2 linked regions of the Caenorhabditis elegans genome follow. The protein of the gene in region 1 interacts with the protein of each later gene in a pairwise test. Each region holds a gene or a part of one and is shown on either strand. Other genes may lie near its edges. The genes, in order: ifet-1 and ife-3.

Region 1 (3,920 bases):
TGTTACTTTTGAAGTTTTTTAATTTTAACATTTATCGCAATGCGACATAACAATGAAATTATAAGACTTAAACTTCTTGTTGGACTGGTGGCTCGTAGTCGTCTGGGCGATCAACCTTCTCACCGTCGGCTCCAACGGTGATGGAGTCTCCGTGCAAGTCGTGAAGACGTCCAAGATCAACCTTTGGTCTCTTGATGATCTTGACCTTACGGATGTAGACTTCTTGGAGTGGGTAGAGCTTGGAGCAGGTCTTCTCAATATCTTTTCCGATGGAATCTGGGATGAGCTTGCTGACAACCTCCTTAAGGTCGCATCCGGTGACCTGCAATAAAAAATTTGTTTTCTTTCATTAGTTATTTTTTGCTACATACCTCCTTTTCGATGCATCCGATCATCTCGGAACGGATCTTGCGGATCTTGGATGTCTTGGTGTAGGAAGTCTTCTTGACTTGGTTGACGGACTTCTTGGTGAAGGCGATAACGAAGACACGGAGAGTGTATCCATCAGTGGTCTTGACGGCGGTGTTGGCCTCGATGAGAGTATGCCACTTCTTGACGATGGAGCACAACTTATCGTGGGTCATCGACATAGCGTGGAAGTTGGTGAGAACGTTCTTTCCCTGGACATCTTCAGCGATGAGCTTGAACTTTCTGAAGTCGGCCTCAGAGTTGTTCAAGTCTCCGAGTGAAACCTCGAAGACACGTCCCTTAAGTCCTTCGGAAGCGATCTTAGTTCCTTGGGTTCTGTTGATAAGGGTCTTTCCAACCTGAAAATAGCATTTATAGAATTATAAAACAAAATAAAACGTTACCTGGCGGGTGTTGAACATGTTTGGGGCCTTGATGTCGTACCATTCCTTGCGGGAGAATGGATCCACGGCCTTCTTCTTACCTCCCTTCTTTCCCATCTTGTTATTGTTCTTTCCGACCGCCATGATTGAAGCGGATTGATGCCAAGCTGTGTCTGAAAATAGGAATACATAATTTAACAGTACAAATTGAGAGTATAAGCTAAAAATTCGACGGAATTTTCCACTCGACACATGAGTTTGCAATAAGATATTAATAAACACTTGAATAAACGGATAACTGTTTGAAAAATTGATTTTTTTTCAAAAATTGCTGAAAAAATAGGAGGGAAACGGAAAAAGAAGGCACGGAAAAGTCCTAAAATTTGCAATTCTCGAGTTGCGTCGCAAGTGTATGCCATACACTCCGCATGACGCTCCACAATGCGTATTACCGTAGTCACAGCGCGTGAGAGACATCTTCTCTCAAACAGACCCGTTTTCATTCGTTCTTACGCTTATTTCAGACGTCTTTCCAGATTATGCGAAAATAAAATTAAAGCATGCAATTCGTCTCATTTTCAGCTGCCATTTCAGCTATAATAGTTGTCATACCTCTCGTTAATCGGAAATTAATAGGCCAAAACCAAATCCATTCAAATTTTGGCGCTAAATTTTTGAAGATGTGCGCAGCGCCAGAACTTTTATGTATTTTCCAGCTCTAATGGGTTTTCAGTTGCTTCTTATCAATTTTGGTCGCCAAAATAAGTTTCTGCGCGGTAAATCGCTATGCTTCGTTTTTTTAGTTAGACATAACAAAAAATCGATATAAACTCGATTGCGATACGTTGTTCTTGCGCAGCTGGCATTCTCTTCTTTTCTGACTGCGATGGATTTTAATGCTAATTGTTGAATAACTAATCATAGACATTCGATTTTTCAGTGTAAATATGACTAGTCATCTAGACGACGAAGGCCTACACCCAATGGTCTCAACCCTTCTCGGAGGGGGCACACTTCCGACGGTACCGTTCAAAGCGTACACCAGAGAACGAATGATGGAACTGAGAACTACCAAAGCAAGCATGACGAGGCCTGAAAACCTCTCAGAAGATTTCAATGGGTTAGTGGTACAGTACGCAAAATATAATTGCATAAAATACAATTTCAGCGAAGATGGTAAGTTTTCTCCTTTGAAATGGCTTGAACACCGTTGGGAAATCGAAGGAATTAAAAATCGTCCGATGTCGAAAAAAATTGATTCGTTATGCGCTGGCGCTGATGAAAATACGGGTTTGTCTCCACAACGGAGAGCATTTAGCAGTGGCTGCAAAGCACCAACAGACGACAAAGGACGTGACGGTAATCAGCTTGGAAATACGAGTTTGATCATAAACTTTATTTTTCAGGAGAGTACGAAAGATTGGGAGGGCATGGAAAGAACTGGAGAAACGGAAGTACCGGTGGTGCCGATAAATTTGCTTCGAGAGGAAATGACTTCAAACCATCCTTCGTACGCAGTTTCAAAATATAATGTTTCATGTTTTACCAAACATTTTTCAGCAGAAAGGTAACCAGCTTGAACGTGGTACTCGTGGAGCCGAATGGAAAAAGGATACGACACGAGGGGCAAAATTCGCACCACGGAGGTTAGTATTGAGTAGTAGCTAAAAATAATGCTGATATTTCTAATTCAGAGAGGAACGCCTTACGAGCTTGAGCGGAAGTGAGAAGCTGCCAGAATGGGCTGACGGTCCCACTACAATGGACGATATGATTGAGTTGCGCGGATTTGATGAACCAAAAAGTATTCCTAATGTCTCCTATTTATTTTATAATGTTATTCTTTTCAGAAGTGAAGAACAAAAAGAATCCAAAGGAAAAGAAGGAGAAAGAAGCTGTGAAAGCTCCGGAGCCAGTGGAGTGCGTTGGATCCCGTCCGTCATCAACTGGTCTCAAGACTTCTGAACCTATTGACGATCCAGCAATTGCTTATTCTTCTTCGGGAGGAGGAGCTCTTCCGGCTACGGATCAGGAACTCGCGGCTCTTCTGGGATGTCTTGACATTCAAAAAACATCAAGAAAGATCGATGGCGACGATATGGCTTGGGCGCACAAGAGTGAGGAAACTGCTGGAGGAACTAGTCGTCTCAGTCGGTTCTTCGCAAAGAAGAACAAGTCCCCTGAATTGGACGCTATGCTTTCGTCAGTTGGAGGCGGAAACGATGAAAACGTGGCTAATCCAATGCTTGCAAGACTTTTCGGTCATAGTGGTGGTGATAACAACGCTTCATCTTCTGGAGCTGGTGATATAAAAGGAGGAATGCGGTTGGAAGATTTGGAGAAAGGCATGGAGTCAAAGGAACCTTCAAAAGTCAGTCCATTGCAAGATCCATCACAACAAGCACAACTTCTGCAACATCTGCAAAAATTCGCCAAACAGCAAGCAGAGTCTGGTCAGCACATACATCATCATAGACAACCAACACCACCAAATGGAGGTCCACAGCATCAACAACATTTGCATCACCCTATGGTTCATCCTGGAATGCAAATTATCGCAGATCCAAGCCTTCTTGCAAGCTTCGCACAGAATCCAGTGATTTTGAATGCCTATGTCGAGAATCAACTTCAAGAAGCAGTCAATGCTGCAATTCGTGCAAACAATGGGCAGCAGCTTCCACCACAGCTTCGTATGTTAAGCATTTTTGAATACATTTCATGATTGAATTATTTTTCAGATGAGCAACTTCGTATGGCATCCATGCGTAACAAGGCTTTCCTACAGTCTCAGACTCTCACTTTCGTTAGTCTTCAACAACAGCATCAGAACATCCAGCAGCATCAGCAACAACAACAGCATCATCAACACAAAGGTCGCACTCCTGCTATGATACCTGCGTCTGTGCAGCGGCAATTGCAGAAGAGCTCCTCAAATGCTGATCAGAAGAAAGAAAAGACGAGTCAGAGCCCGCCAGAGAGCAACCAAGAGACTTCCGACGCTCATAATCAATCTGATGCCATGAACCAACTGAAGAAATTGCACATGCAGCAGAACTATGCCAATATGGTGCAGGCAATGAATTCTGGAGTCGGATGGGCACGCGGAAACGGCGTTGTTAACGGACAACA
Region 2 (3,920 bases), on another chromosome or scaffold:
AAAAAACTAGTTTTCGTTTTTTGGAGCGTTTTCAATAGCTCGTGGAGCGCGATTTCACCAGAGATCTTTTTACAGCGTTTCCATATAACGTGGAATTCCTCATTGTTATGCGAACAATTTAAGACGCTTAAATAGGAAATGATAACATAATTATTTTGTCGAAATATATAAGAAGAGTCTGAAAAAATTGAGCTTCCGACTCTTTTTTGCCGCAAAAAAAGTTTACTTTTTTCCAGTAAACTTTTTGTGCCGCACACCTCTATTCTGCAAACAAACTATAGAATTTCAAATGCTGTGGGCTTCGCGTGTGTGAGTGGAAATGAAAATAAATAAATACATACTAAAAAGTGATAATCACATCAAAATTTAGTTCCTACCGCTGCGACACTGAGAAGTTGTCAAAATTTAAGATTTTAGCTGAAAATATACCATTTTCCGAGCGGTCATAACTTTTTTTTTTGAGAAATTTTCAGAACATCTCATTACGAAATTAGTTTTGGAACATTTTGGGTCCCAAAAAGCCAAGTCTCGAATTTCGGTGATCCTCCTTTAAGTCTGTGGAACTACTGAAAACTAGCAAAAAACGATGATTGTTAGGAGAATAATGCGGCTACGAAAATGTTGTGTGTATGTGTGTGTGGGGGCGTGGCGCTCTCCGAAGACTTTACGTGGACGACGTGGTAATTATGACGGTCAGAAGGCGGACAAGAGTGCGAGAGACGCAGAGAAGAGAAGCCCAACAGCCGTCGCCGAAAAAATAGACAAAGTATTCGTGACTATGGCTCACCGCCAACACTCTAAAACGGGAAAATCGATGTGGTGGAGAGGAGGAGGAGACGGAGGAGAGAGAGAAATACAGCGAAAGAAGTCGTCGTCGGAGGGCCCCCGACGTCGTCTGACGGCGGGGTGTCAGACGCAGTAGGTTAGACGAATGGCGCCTCGGGGCAACGCTTGCTGCGTCTCTGCGATTCGGAGAACTGTCTGGCCACCTTTTTACGGGACGATGGGCAGGGAAAACAAGGCAAAGTGAGAGAGAGAGAGAGAGATATGTGCGACGAGTTGAGGCACACAGAGAGGGAAAAGGCGCCCAGCGGCAGCAGCAGCAACACCCAGACCGATATATTTATATGTGCATGTTGTGGAGGCTGCTGCTGTATGTGTCTGTGTGTATGCTCACAAGAGCTCGAGACACCGGGACGGCTCATGAATTCCTGACGACGACGGCGACGCTGAATGCGGCAGAAGGAGAAAAGAAAACGGAGACGCACTCGTGGATAAATTGGAGAAATTGAGAACCACAGGCTGTAAACAATGCACATTTTTTGGGAAAACTCAGATTATCGACTGCAATCTGGAAAATAAATTTTTGAATTTTAAACCTGAAAATATAATTTTTTAGCCTGAATTCCCTGAAAGAGCTCAATTTCTGTGCGAATAACGAGTTTTCAGCGATTAATTTCATTATTTTACCGAATTTTCAATAAAATTTGAAAAATTTTACCTAAACAACTCGATTTTTATTTTAATACAAAAATAATTTTCATATTTTCCGCTGTTTTGTTTAAAGGGGGGCGCAATTCCGCAGACAAGATACTTCGCAACGACAAAAACTACGGTTACACTCGTTTTGCGTGTGTCTGGTGTTTGAATTTCAGGATTCGCGCCTTTCTTTCCATTTCTTCATTTTCCAAGGTTTTTCGGGGAAATCGCTCTTTTTTTTTTCACTTTTACGATTAAAAAACAGCTAGAATGTTTAAAAACTACTAGGAATTTCATGGGAAACGAATCATTTGATGATTTTTCGTCGAAGTTGAGCTGAATTCATTTTCTACTTTGTTTTATTGTTTTCCAAGCTTTAATATCAATTTATTGTGCCCGATGTTACCAATTACACTTGAAAAATCTAAAAAGCTTGGAAACTAGCCGAAAATGTGCAGTAAAACAAAATTTCCTATAAAATCCGAGTTATTTGAACCAAATTCATACTCTTCTCTATTTTATCGTTTTCCGAGCTCTAATCGTATATAATATTACCTATTTTCAGCTAAATGAGCACATCCGTAGCGGAAAACAAAGCATTGTCAGCTTCCGGCGATGTGAATGCGTCCGATGCTTCAGTTCCTCCAGAGCTTCTCACCAGACACCCCCTCCAGAATCGCTGGGCTCTCTGGTACTTGAAAGCTGACCGTAACAAGGAATGGGAGGATTGTCTGAAGGTAGAAGATTTTTAAATACGTCTTTTATCGATTTTTTCCAGATGGTTTCACTTTTCGACACTGTCGAGGACTTCTGGTCGCTGTACAATCACATTCAGTCTGCCGGAGGATTGAACTGGGGATCCGATTATTACTTGTTCAAGGAAGGAATCAAGCCAATGTGGGAGGACGTCAACAACGTTCAAGGTGGACGTTGGTTGGTTGTTGTCGATAAGCAAGTACGTTTTGAGAAATATATTTTATTCAATGAATCATAGAAGCTTCAGAGAAGAACGCAATTGCTCGATCACTACTGGTTGGAGCTGTTGATGGCTATTGTTGGAGAGCAATTCGACGAGTACGGAGACTACATCTGCGGAGCTGTCGTGAATGTTCGTCAAAAGGGTGACAAGGTTTCCTTGTGGACTCGTGATGCTACTCGCGATGATGTCAATCTTCGCATCGGACAGGTTTTGAAGCAGAAATTGAGCATTCCGGATACTGAGATTTTGAGGTAATTTTACAATTTTAGTATTTGCTATCTAAGTAAAATATTTCCAGATACGAAGTTCACAAGGACTCGTCGGCTCGCACCTCATCGACTGTCAAGCCACGCATATGTCTTCCAGCCAAGGATCCAGCACCAGTGAAGGAAAAGGGACCAGCCGCAACGACTTCTCCATCGAATCCCGGCACGGAGGCTACAGGAACTTCTCCAGCCACCCCAACTCCTTAAGCATATTCTAAAGATCTCACCAATTCCTCTCACCGTAAATGAGCTTCCCCGTACTCCCAGTCTCAATGTTGTCTTGAAAAATGAACTGTTTTTCGGACACGATCATCGCTTTAACTATTCGAAAATCAGCTCATTTTTCAAGTCGTACCCCCCACCTAATGTATTGGTGCTTCCCCTCCAATTTGTACCTACTGTTTCGCTTCCCCCTATTGATTTACCGGTTTTCGTATTGCTCTCTTGTTGTTACTAGATTCGAGACTGATCGACGCCTGTAGCCGAATTCGTTTGTTCTTCAGGTTAATTGATGAATATATATTTATTCGGTAAATATAAATAGATATGTTAGTTATTATTCTTCTTCACACACATGATTTGTAGGGCGTTTGATTTTGTACATTTTTAAAAATTGATTCTATTCTTGTTTTCAGGCAGACTTCTCCGATGTCTTTACAGTTTTTGCAGGCTTTGCCGTAGTCGATGTGTTCGAGCTAGACGAAGGAGCTGCGGCAACAGTCTTCTTGGTTGGCTTCCTAGCTTTCCGAGGTTTCCGTGTGCTCGTCGTGCTCGGCGAGCCGGTAGTGGTCTTTTTGTTTGCTTTGGCCGCATCGTCGTGTTGATAGGAATCAACATCCCGCGACATAATTCCCATCGGAGAGCCAATTCCTCGGTTCCAGTGATTCGAAGCAATGTTCATGTTGTAATCTATGGGAATTCCTCCTCCACGTGATGGGATCTGTGGTCCACTGCCGCCATAAAGCATACGCTCAAGTTGGGAATCATGGCTTCCGAATCGTTCGCGAAGATATGCGGGACCATAGCGTGACGCATAGGTGGCAAGCTCGCGAAGTGATGGGATCGCGGAATTTGTAGCTCCATTGAAACTGTTCATCAGGTCGTTAGATGCGTAATCAGCTGGAAAATAGCGGATTTTAAAGAATTTTATAGCGCATAGAAAAATCGTATACTTACGTGGATACTCAGTCTGTGGA

Evidence for each region.
Region 2: the proteins of ifet-1 (region 1) and ife-3 interact in binary tests that used the Caenorhabditis elegans proteins (3 or more experiments, as listed by UniProt).

The regions. Positions count from the first base shown.
Region 1 is NC_003281.10:4,472,962-4,476,881, reverse strand, and holds the start of ifet-1 (Translational repressor ifet-1), read left to right. Parts: upstream 1-1,731; 5' UTR 1,732-1,738; coding exon 1,739-1,911; intron 1,912-1,959; coding exon 1,960-2,150; intron 2,151-2,197; coding exon 2,198-2,301; intron 2,302-2,351; coding exon 2,352-2,437; intron 2,438-2,485; coding exon 2,486-2,595; intron 2,596-2,641; coding exon 2,642-3,481; intron 3,482-3,529; coding exon 3,530-3,920. Other genes in the region: rps-3A (Small ribosomal subunit protein eS1), read right to left, coding at 68-322, 372-767, 813-935. UniProt on the Caenorhabditis elegans protein: Involved in translational repression of multiple mRNAs in the distal gonad. Recruited to the 3' untranslated region (UTR) of zif-1 by oma-1 and is required for translational repression of zif-1.
Region 2 is NC_003283.11:5,947-9,866, reverse strand, and holds ife-3 (Eukaryotic translation initiation factor 4E-3), read left to right. Parts: upstream 1-2,037; 5' UTR 2,038-2,048; coding exon 2,049-2,216; intron 2,217-2,257; coding exon 2,258-2,434; intron 2,435-2,473; coding exon 2,474-2,709; intron 2,710-2,756; coding exon 2,757-2,931; 3' UTR 2,932-3,279; downstream 3,280-3,920. Other genes in the region: B0348.10 (uncharacterized protein), read left to right, coding at 1,128-1,292; idpp-2 (Intrinsically Disordered Protein, expressed in Pharynx), read right to left, coding at 3,356-3,843, 3,901-3,920. UniProt on the Caenorhabditis elegans protein: Recognizes and binds the 7-methylguanosine-containing mRNA cap during an early step in the initiation of protein synthesis and facilitates ribosome binding by inducing the unwinding of the mRNAs secondary structures.